Linked DNA regions of Oryctolagus cuniculus. The protein of the gene in region 1 binds, or shares a complex with, the protein of each later gene. Links are inferred from orthologs where the notes say so. Each region holds a gene or a part of one and is shown in the gene's direction. Other genes may lie near its edges.

Region 1 (4,505 bases):
GGCTTTCCCGGGACAGGAGGATTTTAGGGTTTTGATCTTAGAGGCGGGGGGACGGAGGGAGAGCGGGAGGGACTGCCCCACCCCTGGCTCACTCCCAGATGCCCACGTGGCTGTGCACCAGCCTAGCAGGGCACTCACGTGGGTGGTGGGCACCCAGCTCCTGGGCTCTCAGCACTGCCGCCCACGACTGGAGTCAGGAGCTGTCTTATTCTACTTATCTCTTTGAAAGGCAGAGGGAGAAGGAGTGTGCGAGACAGAGATCTTCAGTCTGCCCACAACAGCCAGGGCTGGGCCAGGCAGAAGCCAGGAACCAAGAACTCCATCCAGGTCCCCCATGTGGTGGCAGAGACCCAGGTACTTGAGCCATCACCTGCTGCCTCCAAGGGTGCAGATTAGGGGTCAGAGGCAGAGCTGGGCCTTGAAGCCCTGTGGGGTTCAGGTGACATGATCAGTGTCCTCATCCCTGGGCCAAACACCGCTCCCCCCAGCCCCATCAACCTTCTCTAAGGACCTACTGTGTGCTAACCAGACAGGAAGGTTTCTGCCACAAAGAAACCGAACTGCTGGCACAGAGGACAGGCTGCCAGGGTGGGGCTCTCCTGGGCAGGAGTGGGTGCAGTGGGTGTGGATGGGGTGGGACTTGGAGGTGTGCAGAGGGGTGCAGGGTGGGAGAGCCCTTGTTATGGCTGTGTGGGACTCCGTGCAGCCTGGGCTCGGGACCGGCCTCCACAGCCTGCCGCCAGCCCTAGGTGACAGCTGTGTCTGCAGGGCAGGGCCCAGTTCCACTCTCCGTGGAAAGGCTGCCTGCCCTGGCGCCCAGGAGGTGTGGAGTCGCTGGGACTCTGTGAGGAAGCCGCCGGGATGCGGAGCAGGGCTGGAGACCTCCCCTCCCCTCCCCTCCCTGCCCAGACACCTGCGCCAGCTCAGCGCCTGCCTCCACCCCTGCATCCATGCAAACCAACGCGCCCAGGACCCTGGTCTGTGCGGCACCCTCGCGCTTGGCTTGCCTCCATCTGCTACTCCTCCACGTGCACACTTGCACCTGACCCCTTCTCCTCCCTGTGCACACGCACTGGTGTACACAGCAGCCCCAGCCCCATGCACACAGGCGAGCACACAACTGGCCCCCTTTTCCATGCACACAGCAAGTGCTCTTGGCCTCCTGCCCTGCAGGTGCCTCCTCTCCACCCCCTACACCCATGTCTCGCCTCCAGCTCTGCCCCCCACCCCGGCCCCCTTGCAGCTCTGTGTGCGCACACACAGCTTGGGTCTCCTCCCACAGTCTCGCTCCGTGCATACACACACACACACACACACACACACACACACTCATGCGCGCACACACGTGGCCCCTCTGACCCGCGCGCGCATCCCTAGCGCCGGCTGGCTCCATCCCGTCCGGCGCACGCGCAGGCTCGAACACGCGCGCACGGCCCTCCCCTCCCCCAGGGCGGCAGCGCCGGCGGGAGGAGCGGGAGCAGGAGGGGCGGAGGAGGAGGAGGGCGCCGAGGAGGAGGAGGGCTCCGAAGGCGCGAAAATGCGCGCAGGCGCGCTGCGCGGAGCGGGCCCGCCGCCGCCCACGTCACCGCGCCGCGCGCACGTCACGCCGGCCCGACGCTCGGCCAGGGTGAGCCCCGCGTCCCGGCGCCGCTGGCCCAGGGCAGGGACCCCGCCAGGGCCGGGAGCGCCGCCCGGCCCCCGCCGCCCGCCCGCGCCCCGCGGCCGTGTCCCCGCGCGGCCCGCGCCCCAGACTGCGCGGCCATACCGGGCGAGCCAGGTGCGGGCGGCGGAGGATGCGGTGGGAGCCGGCGCGACGGGGCCGGGCGAGCGCGGGGCGCGGGCCACGCGGGGCGCGGGCGGGCGGCGGCCCCCGAGCTGCGTCCCCGCCGCGTGCGGGCGCCGCGCGGCCCCGGCCCTCCCGCGCCCTCCGGGCCCCGCGCGCTCCTGGGCGCCGGGGCCCCGCGCCAGGCGCCCTTGCTGCGGGCGGGGGCTCCCAGGTGACCGGGCGGGGCGGGCGGGGGTACGGGGCCTGGCCTCCGGGGCCGATGGCCGCGCCCGCGCCTTGGGGGTCGGGGTCGGGGTCGGGGCCGGGCCGCGCGGGGCGGGGCGGGAGGCGCCGCGGGGCTGGAGTGCGCGCGGTGGCTGCGGCCTAGTGACAGATCGCAGCGGGCGGGGACCCGAGAGCCCACCTGTCAGAGTTACCGGTCGGCGGCCGAGCAGCCCGGCGCGCAGCCCCTGGAGGGTCCGGGGGAAGACCTGGGAACTTGCACGTTTGGGCTGTGCCCTGTTGGGTGGTCGTGTGCGCCTAAGTGGGGGACCCAAGCCCACCCTGCGGAGGCGGGCAGCGCGCCCCGGGCTCACCGCGGTCTCGCCTCCGGACCGGCCATTTGGGGTGCGCGGGGCGGGGGGGTTCCGGGCTGCTCGCGGGGTCTGAGGGTGGCGAGCGCTGCGAGAGCCTTGCGTCCAGGCTCTAGCGAGAAATCTCAGCCGCCAGGCCCTCGTGCAGGCGGGGGAGACGTCTCCTTTAAAGTGGGACATCTTGTAAACTTAGTTTTTCATCCTTGCTCATTTTTCTTTTTTCTCTCTCTTTTTTTTTTTTTTAACCAGAAAAGTCTTTTCTTCCTTGGAGAGTGAATGTTGATAGCATTGGTTTCCTGGACCTGGTAACATGGCAAAAGATGTGAGTACCTTTGCTTAATGCTCAAACACCTGTGCCTGGCACCAGCCCCTCCTGTTTGTGCCTTTGTCAGAGGGGCAAAACCTGAGTTATTAGTATTTCCTGGCTTTTTAAGAGAGGTTGGTTTGTTTATTTGGAAGGGTGAGAGACAGAGGGAGAGCTTCCATTAGCCGGTTCACTCCCCAGATGGCCATATGGCCACATAGCCACATCTGGGTCGGGCCAAAGCCAACAGTTTCATCTGGGTCTCCCAGCCTGATGACAGAGGCCCAGGCAGTTGGGCCATCTTCTGCCCTCCCAGGCGCATTAGCAGGAAGCTGGAGCAGAAGCAGAGCAGCCGGGACTTGAACTGGTGCTCCTATGGGATGCTGGCATTGCAGGTGCCCACTGAACCCTCTGCGTGCCACAATACCATCCCCTTCTCGGTAACTTTTTAAAGTTGGGTGGAGAAATAGGCTCTTAGGTCCAAGAATGAACTGAGTTTCCCATCATGCCGTCAGATTCCCTGAAACGCGGGGTCTTTGCACACTGGTGCAGACGGGCTGCGTGCTCGTCTCCTGCATAGAGCTGGAAGCAGGCTGGTCCTGCTGCCTCTGTGCGCGACTGCAGGTTGGGTGGCTTTGGAGCGCCTTCTGTCAGCTCAGATTTCCCGAACTTCCTGAGCCGCGTCCTCTGTCTGTGCCGGTCAGGGGCTCCCTGTCCTCGGATGCAGGCCTGCGCAGGGAGGCGCGCAGCCCTCCGGGCGCTGTGTGCAGGGTTTTGGTTTGATGTTCATTTTAAAACTGCTGTCATTTGGTTGGTGCCATCACTCCTGGAGGTGCCAACATGTGGCAGGTGCCCCGAAGCAGCTGGACTCCCACAGTTGCCCAGAAAGGGTGGTGCCAGACCCATGCCCAGCCGCATGCTTCTGGTTTCTGGACCAGTTTGCTCTCGTCTCTTTAAATGCTTAGATACTCACTGATGTCATCTTCGAAGCCCTTTGTGGTTCCACGTTGGTGTGGCTGGCACCGTCTGTGTGGCACGGAGAGAGGCGTGGGAGGGAAGGACAGACAGGTGCTGGAGGAGGGGGACCCCGCCACCCCAGCAAGGTCGCCGGGCCAGGGCACGGGCTGTGCTGGCCCCCTAGCTGGTCATCGTTGCATTTGAAGGACTCGGAGTGTGTGCTGTTGGGAGGTGGCAGGGTCTCACGGGCTGAGGAGTGGCTGTGGGGCAGACTGGCAAGGTGGCCTCCGTGTTCTACAGACAAGGGCTGTGCTGGTCCCGTGGCTGGTGACGCTGCTTTCTTGTCATCCACGTGCTCTTAGGCGGTGGCAGGGTCTCACGGGCTGAGATGCAGCTGGCAGGGCAGAATGGCAGGGTGGCCTCCGTGTTCTGCAGACAAGAAGTCAGGGTGTCGGGGACAAGCTGGAAATGGAGGCTGTGGGCAGGTGATGCTGGAGGGTGGATGGGCGACCAGCAAGGGTGAGGGCCCGTGGGGGGCCAGTGGCTGTGTTGTGCACAGGTTGCCTGATGAGGTTGTTGCAGAGTGGGCCCTCTGGTGTGAATTGAGGGGCCCAGAGCCCGCTGGGGGCCCCTAAGCTAGTTTTTGGTGCCCCCTGCTCATCTCATGCGGTGATTTCTGCGGTCATGAGCAGCTTCTGATCGCACAGGCCTCTGTGTGGCCTCTGGGGTGTGTGTGAGGAACGATGGTCTCTGTTCGTCCTCGTCATCCTGTGAGCCCTTTCTGGGCCCGTGGGCCGGGAGGGTGCGTGCTGGCCACAGCCTGTGGTGGCTGCTCCGGGGTGACGGGTACATCAGGGCCGACAGGAAGGAGATGCACTTGGCACCT
Region 2 (3,635 bases), about 67 Mb from region 1:
TGTGGAATTCACTGACTCCAATACTTTCTCAACCTTGTTGTTGAGGAATTTTTATGGGGTTTGATTATATAGGTATAATTGATAAACAGGGTCTCTAGCCCCTCACCCCTCCCTGAAGGTTATGGGTGTGTCACTGAAAGTGCCAAGTCAAGGCTTGGTGTTTCTGGTGACCAGCCCCCATCCTGCTGCTATCTAGGAGCCCAAAAAGCATTGAACAAAGATGGTCCTATCACCCTTATCATTCAGGAAGTTCCAAGAGTATTAGAGCCCTGTCCCAGGAACCCAGGACAAAGACTAAAAATCTTTCTGTGATAGCACATGTGTATGTATATAATCCCACAGAAATGTTTACAAAATAGTTTTGAAACTCACTAATATGATTATGATTTGAAATGAGATACTTCAAACTGTAAGCACCACAATCAGATGTCACCACTGGTCTTCTCATTCCATATATTTGTGTGTACTCTTTTGTTTGTTCTTCCTTTCAAGCTTCTAGGATAGTCTTTCCCTGGAATATTGACTAGGAATTGGTTACATGCATCCCCGCCTCAGTAAAAATGGCAGGGCCTAGGTATGCTAATCTTTGTTCTAAGAGATCCAAGGGAAAGCTTAACTTTGAAAGTTAATTCTAGCCTGAGAACTCACTACTCTAATTGCCTCCTGTTAATGTTATTAATTCAGTCCCACATGCAATGTGTGTTTCTATTACTTTGCCAGTCCCCACGTTAGTGTTTCTTACCAAAGGTTTTTGCTTTGCTGTCTCAGGATTCTCCCTTAGGGGACACACACACACACTCCTGGTACACTTAATTTCTGTAGTTCTTGGGATTTTTTAAATTTTTTATACTTTATGAATTAGCAGCATTTCAACAAATACCATAGATTGATAGTTTAAAATATGTAAACTATATGACTTATCAACATAATACCCATTAAGTGAATTAAAAAGTATCCACCGAACCCATCCCCTCTTATCAAATTCCTGTGACTATCCCTCTAGTTATATAATATTCTTAAAAAAAAAAAAGCTAACAGAAACCAGGTCTATTGTTCCAACTTTGGCTGCTTCTTAGAAGTTGCCCTGCTTCTGTGTGTGGGTGAGTTCTGAAAATGAGGAACCAGGGCTTCCACTGGGGTGGTCAGGGTTGTTGAGAAAGAGTGGGAGCCTCATGGGAAAAGACAGGAGGATTTACAAAGAGTGGCTGGGACAGAATTAGGTACAGTTTACTCTGATTTTGAAATTTTTCATACCTTTAACTTGGTCCAGTAGAGTAAAAAATTAAAATGAAGAGATTACCTCTGCCTGCTTTTTTGACACCCTTTAAAACTACAGTTTGGGGGCCGGCGCTGTGGTAGTAGGCTAAACCTCCGCCTGTGGTACCAGCATCCCATATGGGTGCCAGTTTGAGTCTCAGATGCTCCTTTTCCGGTCCAGCTCTCTGCTATAACCCAGGAAAGTAGTGGAAGATGGCCTGAGTGCTTGGGCCCCTGTACCCATGTGGGAGACCTGCAAGAAGCTCTTGGCTCCTGGCTTCAGATCTGTCCAGATTCAGCCATAGTGGCCATTTGAGAGTGAACAGTGGATGGAAGACCTTTCTGTCTCTCCCTCTTTCTGTCTGTAACCCTACTTCCCAGGTAAATAAATAAAATCTTTAAAAAAAAAAAAAAAAAAGAACTACAGTTTGGGGTTGCTAACTATAAAACGCTGCCACCTAATGATTTAAAGAATTCTGTAATTTGTAGACTTCTGAGAAGTTCCAGAAAATAAACCAGATGGTATGTAACAGCGATCGAGTGCTCAAAAGAAGTGCTGAAGGAAGCAACCCTCCCAAACCCCTGAAAAAACTGCGTTTTGATATTGAAGGAACGGATGAAGCCGATGGAAGGTAGGAACCACTTCAGGATGTTTCCCAGGAGTGGAGCCAGTCATCTGGAAACCCTGAGTCTAGCTCTCGTCCCGCTCCTACCAATTCCTTCCAAGCCAATTTCATTTGGAAATTGTGAGAATGGCTCAAAATAATAGCTATGAATGTAGCCCAAAGTTAAAAACACTAAACAAGTATTATACTACTGTCTTCCAAAATTCAGAGAAGATATCAGGCATTAAAGATCTGTTTTTGTTTTTTTTTTTTACAAAGCTATTGATAAAATTTTGTTAGTTTTAACATTAGATTTAAAAGTGTTTAGAAAAATACTGGAAAATATATGGGATCAAATTTTTGGCATTTATATTTTAAATAGTTAGTTTATAAATCTTTGAAATTAAAAGCTACTCACAAAGAAATAACATAAAATAAATCATTGAAAGCAATACAGTTACTGGAAATTTGAGTTTTCCATTTATACATGTATAAATTAAGTATTTTGTATTTTTTTAATCTGCAGTAAACATATTCCAGGGGAGTCCAAATTTCAACAGAAACTTGCAGAAATGAGTAAGTACTTATCATCTGACCTTATGTAAATGAAAGAAGAAATTGATTATCTTGCAGTCTTTTTACTTTATTAAAGAATATACATATACATATTTCTTTCAACTAGCAGACTCTTTTATGCATTTAAAGTGTAAATCAAGACCATATTATGTACCTGTAAACATTAGTGATTGAGTATGAAGCAACGTGAAGGATGTCTTCACCCCTTCTAAAATCCTTGGTGTAGGAACACTAAGAAGTGAAATCCTGCTTGACTACATCTTCAACACAAAATGACTGTTGGAAAATACTTCAGAATTGTAATGAGGAACTCTTTTTTTTAAAAAAAGATTATTTATTTATTTGAGAGGTAGAGTTACAGACAGTAAGAGGGAGAAACAGAGAGAAAGGTCTTCCTTCCATTGGTTCACTCCCCAAATGGCCACAACGGCCGGAGCTGCGCTGAACCAAAGCCAGGAGCCAGGAGCCTCTTCCGGGTCTCCCATGTGGATGCAGGGGCCCAAGCACTTGGGCCATCTTTTACTGTTTTCCCAGGCCATAGCAGAGAGCTGGATTGGAAGAGGAGTAGTAGGGACTTGAACTGGCGCCCATTTGGGATGCTGGCACCACAGGCAGAGGATTAACCTACTGTGCTACGGCACCAGCCCAATGAGGAAATTTTTAAGACTGTTTGGTACAGGAAAAGGTTTTAGAAACCTATCGTATTTAAACTTTATCACCTTTATTTAAAGAATGATCTTTTAGGATTAGACATTTAGCCTAGAGGTTAAAGATACTGGTGAAGACACCCATGTCCTGTTTTGGAGGATCTGGGTTCAATACCTGGCTCTGGCTCCTGATTCCAGCTTCCTGCTAATGCACACAGTGATGGCTCACAGATTTGGTCCCTGTCATACATGTGGGAGACCTGAATTGAGTTCTCAGCCTACTCCTGGCTTGCAAGGTCCAGCCCCAGCTGTTGTGGGCACTTGGGGAGTGAATAGTGGTTGGGAAGCCCATTCTCTCAGTTTCTCTACCCCTCAAATAAAATTTTTACAAATATATTTTATTCTGCTATTATTGAGCTTTGTTAATTTGCAAACTTTAAAACATAATTTCAAACAGAAGTCCTGTTTATTACTAGAAATCAGAATTTCAATAGCTATTTTCTCAGTTACTTAGAGCGATATACATTTGGAGAGTTAAAGCAAGTGGAAC
Region 3 (3,752 bases), on another chromosome or scaffold:
GTGGGAAATGGCACAGGTGCTTGGGCCCCTGTGCCCATCTGGGAGACCTGGATGGAGTTCTAGTCCTGGCTTCAGCCTGGCCCAGCCCTGGCCTTAACCCTTTCTCAGGGCACAGTATGGCAGTGTTAAGTATTCCCCATGGTCTACGGGGCAGCAGATCTTAGGAAGCTTTCTGTTTTCTGAGAAATGGAACTCTTACCTTTTGGGCACTAATTCTCTCCCCAGCCCTTGGCTGCTAGGTGCCTGCTTTCTGTTTCTGTGGCTTTGACTGCTCTCGGTACCTCGTGACTGGAAGCACACAGTACTTGTCCTTTTGTGACTGGCTTATTTCATGGAACAAAATGTCCTCAAGGGTTGTCCCTGTTCCATCTAGTATGTTTCAGAATTTCCTTTTTTTTTTTTTTTTTTTTTTTTTTTTAGTTTGCCTTCTTTTTAATTAGAGATTTGTTTATTTACTTATTCAAATGGCAGAGTGACAGAGCAAGAGAGACAGAGCTTCCATCCACTGGCTCATTCCCCGAATTGCTGTTGACAGCTGGGGCTGGACCAGGCAGAAGCCAGGAGCTCAGAGCTCCATCCAGGTCTTGCACGTGGGTGCAGGGGCCTGAGCCGTCTCCTGCTCTGCTAGTCACATTAGCAGGAAGCTGCGTCGGGGCCGAATAGCCCGGGACTCGAACCCACACTTTGATATGAGATGCTGGTGTGGCAAGTGGTGGTTTAATCCGTTGTGCCACATTAGCCTCTGTTTTTCTTCATTTTTTTTTTAAGACTGGGTCATATTTCATTGATGTCTTTACCATGTTTTCTTTGTGTATATCATATTTTTTAAAAATTTTACTTATTAGACAGAAATCTTCCATATGCTGATTTACTCTCAATGCCTCTAACAGCTGGGGCTGGGCCAGACCAAAACCAGGAGCCAGGAATTTCATTCAAGTCTCCTGCATGGGTGTCAGGGACTCAAGTACTTGAGCCAGAGTACACATTGTTAGCAGGAAGCTGGAATAGGAGCAGAGCTGGGATTTGAACTCAGGCACTCTGATATGAGAAAGTGTGTCCCAAGTGACATATTTTTTTTTTTTTAAGATTTATTTATTTATTTATTTGAAAGGCAGAGTTACAGAGAGGCAGAGAGACAGAGAAATCTTCTATCTGCTGGTTTACTCTCCAAATGCCCACTACAGTTGGAGCTGGGCTGGTCTGAAGCCAGGAGCCTGGAGCTTCTTCCAGGATTCGCATGCGGGTGCGGGGGCCCAAGGACTTGGGCCATCCTCCACTGTTTTCCCAGGCACATTAGCAGGGAGCATCGTTGGAAATGGAGCAGCTGGGACTTGAACCGGTGCCCATATGGGATGCTGGCACTGCTGGCAGTAGCTTTACCTGCTACACCACAGCGCCAGGCCCCCCAAGTGCCATCTTAACTGCTATTCCAAATACTCCTATATATTTTATTTCTATAAAATTGAGAAATACTTTATATACAATCAACTGCCGTTCGACGTACAGCTCAGTGAATTTCACAGGTGCTTGTTTACAGCCACGAATAGCAGCAGTCACGTTCCAGAACATTCCACTACCCCCAACACAGTCCTCGCTCTCCTTGCTGTCTCTTTTGTCCGACCACTGGCTTCCTTTTTGTTCCTGTATCTTAGTTCACATCTTCTAGATTCCGTGTGCGTGGAATGATCCGGTATGTCCCCGTTTATGTCTGACCTATCAGGATCCCGAGATGCACGTTGTGTGACAGTAGCTCCTCTTCAGGAGAACGTGTCTTCTGCCTGCTCTCAGTTCTGCCCATGGCTACCCCACCTCCAGAGCCGAGTCCTGTCACCCCGGGCCTGGGTGCAGTATTGGCCTCGCATGTCCACTCTGCCTCCTTCCATCCCCTTTCCTGCCTTGCAGCAAGCACGTTGGAGCCCTTGTCACAAGCCATTGGACCGTAAATGCTCACTGCTCAGATGCCGCGGTGGCTTAGCCTGCTGCAGAGGCGTCAGTTTTGCATGAGGCCTGGTCCCTGCCGTCCCTCCAGAACCATCTCGCGTCCCTTGTTCACTTGAGTCCAGTGTTCCAGCTTTGCGTTCCCATTACTGTGCATCTCTTTGTGTCTCTGAGCTTTCGATGAGCTCTCCCTAGACCATAAGCCCCTCAGGGTTGCTGCCTGCCGCTGTGACTGCCATTCCTGGCGCGCAGTAGGTGGTCATTTTAAGCCGGGATGGAAGGACGGAGCTGTTCTTGGAGGGGCTACTGTTGGGGGCGCCTGGGAGGCGGCCTCCTGCACAGTGTGCGCTGAGCTCTGTCTTCCTCGTGTTGGCAGGATGAGCAGCTGAGGGCCCTGGTGAGGCAGTTCGGACAGCAGGATTGGAAGTTCCTGGCCAGCCACTTTCCTGTGAGTATGGCAGGGGTTCTCGCCGACCTACCACTGTGCCGGGGACAAGCTTCCTGCCAGGGAGAAGGCGAGGGAGTTCTTACCAGTTCCCTCCGAAGGAGAACCACGTAAAAGACGACTGTGTTCATGGGACCTTGCTTCCCAGAGGCGAAGCCTCTGCCCACAGCTGCCTCGTGTGTCCGGGGCTTTGCGGGGTTTGTAGCTGTGGCCAGTGACATGCTTATTTGCATTGCTTCGTGCACTGCTGGAGCGGATGGGTGCTGGGTTCCTCAACAGTGAGGCTGCAGCTGGGGGCAGGTGGTGCTTCCGCCGGCTGCGGCTGCACAGTAAGGCCCTGCAGCCACCCCACCCCCAGGCTGCAGGTGTCTGCTCTCTGGCTTACTGCCTGGGTCCCCAGGGCCACTAGAGGTCGGAGCCACCAGAGCCCTTTTGTCCACTTTGTTCATCTGCTTTTCATCCGTGTGGTGCTTCAGAAATAGAAACACTCTCCCAAAAGAAAGCAGGGATCTGGAACCTCATGAGTCTGTTACAGGCTTGGCAGGGGTGGCTGCCTGTGTGGGTAGTGGGAGGTGATCTTCTACAGGGGCCCGAACCTGTCCCCGTCTGCAGCAAAGGGAAGCCACGCGTGTCCTCGTGTGTGGGCCTGCAGTGTGTGGTGGGGGTGGTGGTGGTGGCATACACTGGGCCCTGAACCCCTGAGCCCAGTGCTCCAAAGGGTCCCAGCCCATGGATCAGGAGTTCTCACAGATTCCTGAATGTTCTTCCTGTTCACTTCCCAGAACCGCACTGACCAGCAATGCCAGTACCGGTGGCTGAGAGTTTTGAATCCAGATCTTGTCAAGGGGCCCTGGACCAAAGAGGAGGACCAGAAGGTAACTCAGCCACCTGTATTCAGTGGGCCTTCACCCACCTGCAGGGCAGCAGGCACCGTTGTGGGCATGTCCATGCACATGAACCTGGGAGTGAGCCAGCCTGCGATCAGCCCGGGTGTCCCCAGGTGTCCAGTTCGAGGCCCCAGGTCCTGATCCAGAGGGTCTGCAATCAGGAGCTGGGGCTGTTGGGCAGAACACTCAGCTTCTTGGTCCCTGCAGTAGGGTTTTTGTGAAGGTTGGACAGGTGATGCACGGGAGGGGTTTGTGTGGTCCCTGCACCAGCTGAGCTTACAGAGGGTGGCAGGTGCTATTTTCTTGTTATAACGGTGACTGTGCCTGGTGAACCGTTTTCCTGGGCACTGAGCCTTGTAAATGCTGTGTCCTTTTTTTTTTTTTTTTTTTTTTTTTTTTTTTTTTTTAATTTATTTTTTTTTGACAGGCAGAGTGGACAGTGAGAGAGAGAGACAGAGAGAAAGGTCTTCCTTTGCCGTTGG

Evidence for each region.
Region 2: the proteins of TFDP1 (region 1) and RB1 are in contact, whole or in part, in a crystal structure (PDB 2AZE), measured with the Homo sapiens proteins. The link is inferred for Oryctolagus cuniculus from reciprocal best matches to the Homo sapiens genes TFDP1 and RB1. Residues at the interface, in NP_009042.1 of Homo sapiens: Gln222, Glu225, Leu226, Gln229, Ile262, Val271, Asp273, Asp288, Asn289, Thr290, Phe291, Glu292, Ile293, His294, Asp295, Glu298, Arg302; in NP_000312.2 of Homo sapiens: Ile835, Ser838, Phe839, Thr841, Ser842, Phe845, Gln846, Ile848, Asn849, Val852, Cys853, Asn854, Ser855, Val858, Leu859, Lys860, Arg861.
Region 3: TFDP1 (region 1) and MYBL2 share a complex: the UniProt entries of both Homo sapiens proteins name them as parts of the DREAM complex. The link is inferred for Oryctolagus cuniculus from reciprocal best matches to the Homo sapiens genes TFDP1 and MYBL2.

Annotation. Positions count from the first base shown.
Region 1 is NC_091440.1:500,507-505,011, reverse strand, and holds the start of TFDP1 (transcription factor Dp-1), read left to right. Parts: upstream 1-1,545; 5' UTR 1,546-1,627; intron 1,628-1,638; exon of another isoform or gene 1,639-1,777; intron 1,778-1,973; exon of another isoform or gene 1,974-1,997; intron 1,998-2,370; exon of another isoform or gene 2,371-2,392; intron 2,393-2,607; 5' UTR 2,608-2,668; coding exon 2,669-2,680; intron 2,681-4,505. UniProt on the Homo sapiens protein: Can stimulate E2F-dependent transcription.
Region 2 is NC_091440.1:67,476,175-67,479,809, forward strand, and holds part of RB1 (retinoblastoma-associated protein), read left to right. Parts: intron 1-1,746; coding exon 1,747-1,889; intron 1,890-2,388; coding exon 2,389-2,438; intron 2,439-3,635. UniProt on the Homo sapiens protein: Tumor suppressor that is a key regulator of the G1/S transition of the cell cycle. The hypophosphorylated form binds transcription regulators of the E2F family, preventing transcription of E2F-responsive genes.
Region 3 is NC_091442.1:15,288,362-15,292,113, reverse strand, and holds part of MYBL2 (myb-related protein B), read left to right. Parts: intron 1-2,314; coding exon 2,315-2,386; intron 2,387-3,165; coding exon 3,166-3,258; intron 3,259-3,752. UniProt on the Homo sapiens protein: Transcription factor involved in the regulation of cell survival, proliferation, and differentiation. Transactivates the expression of the CLU gene.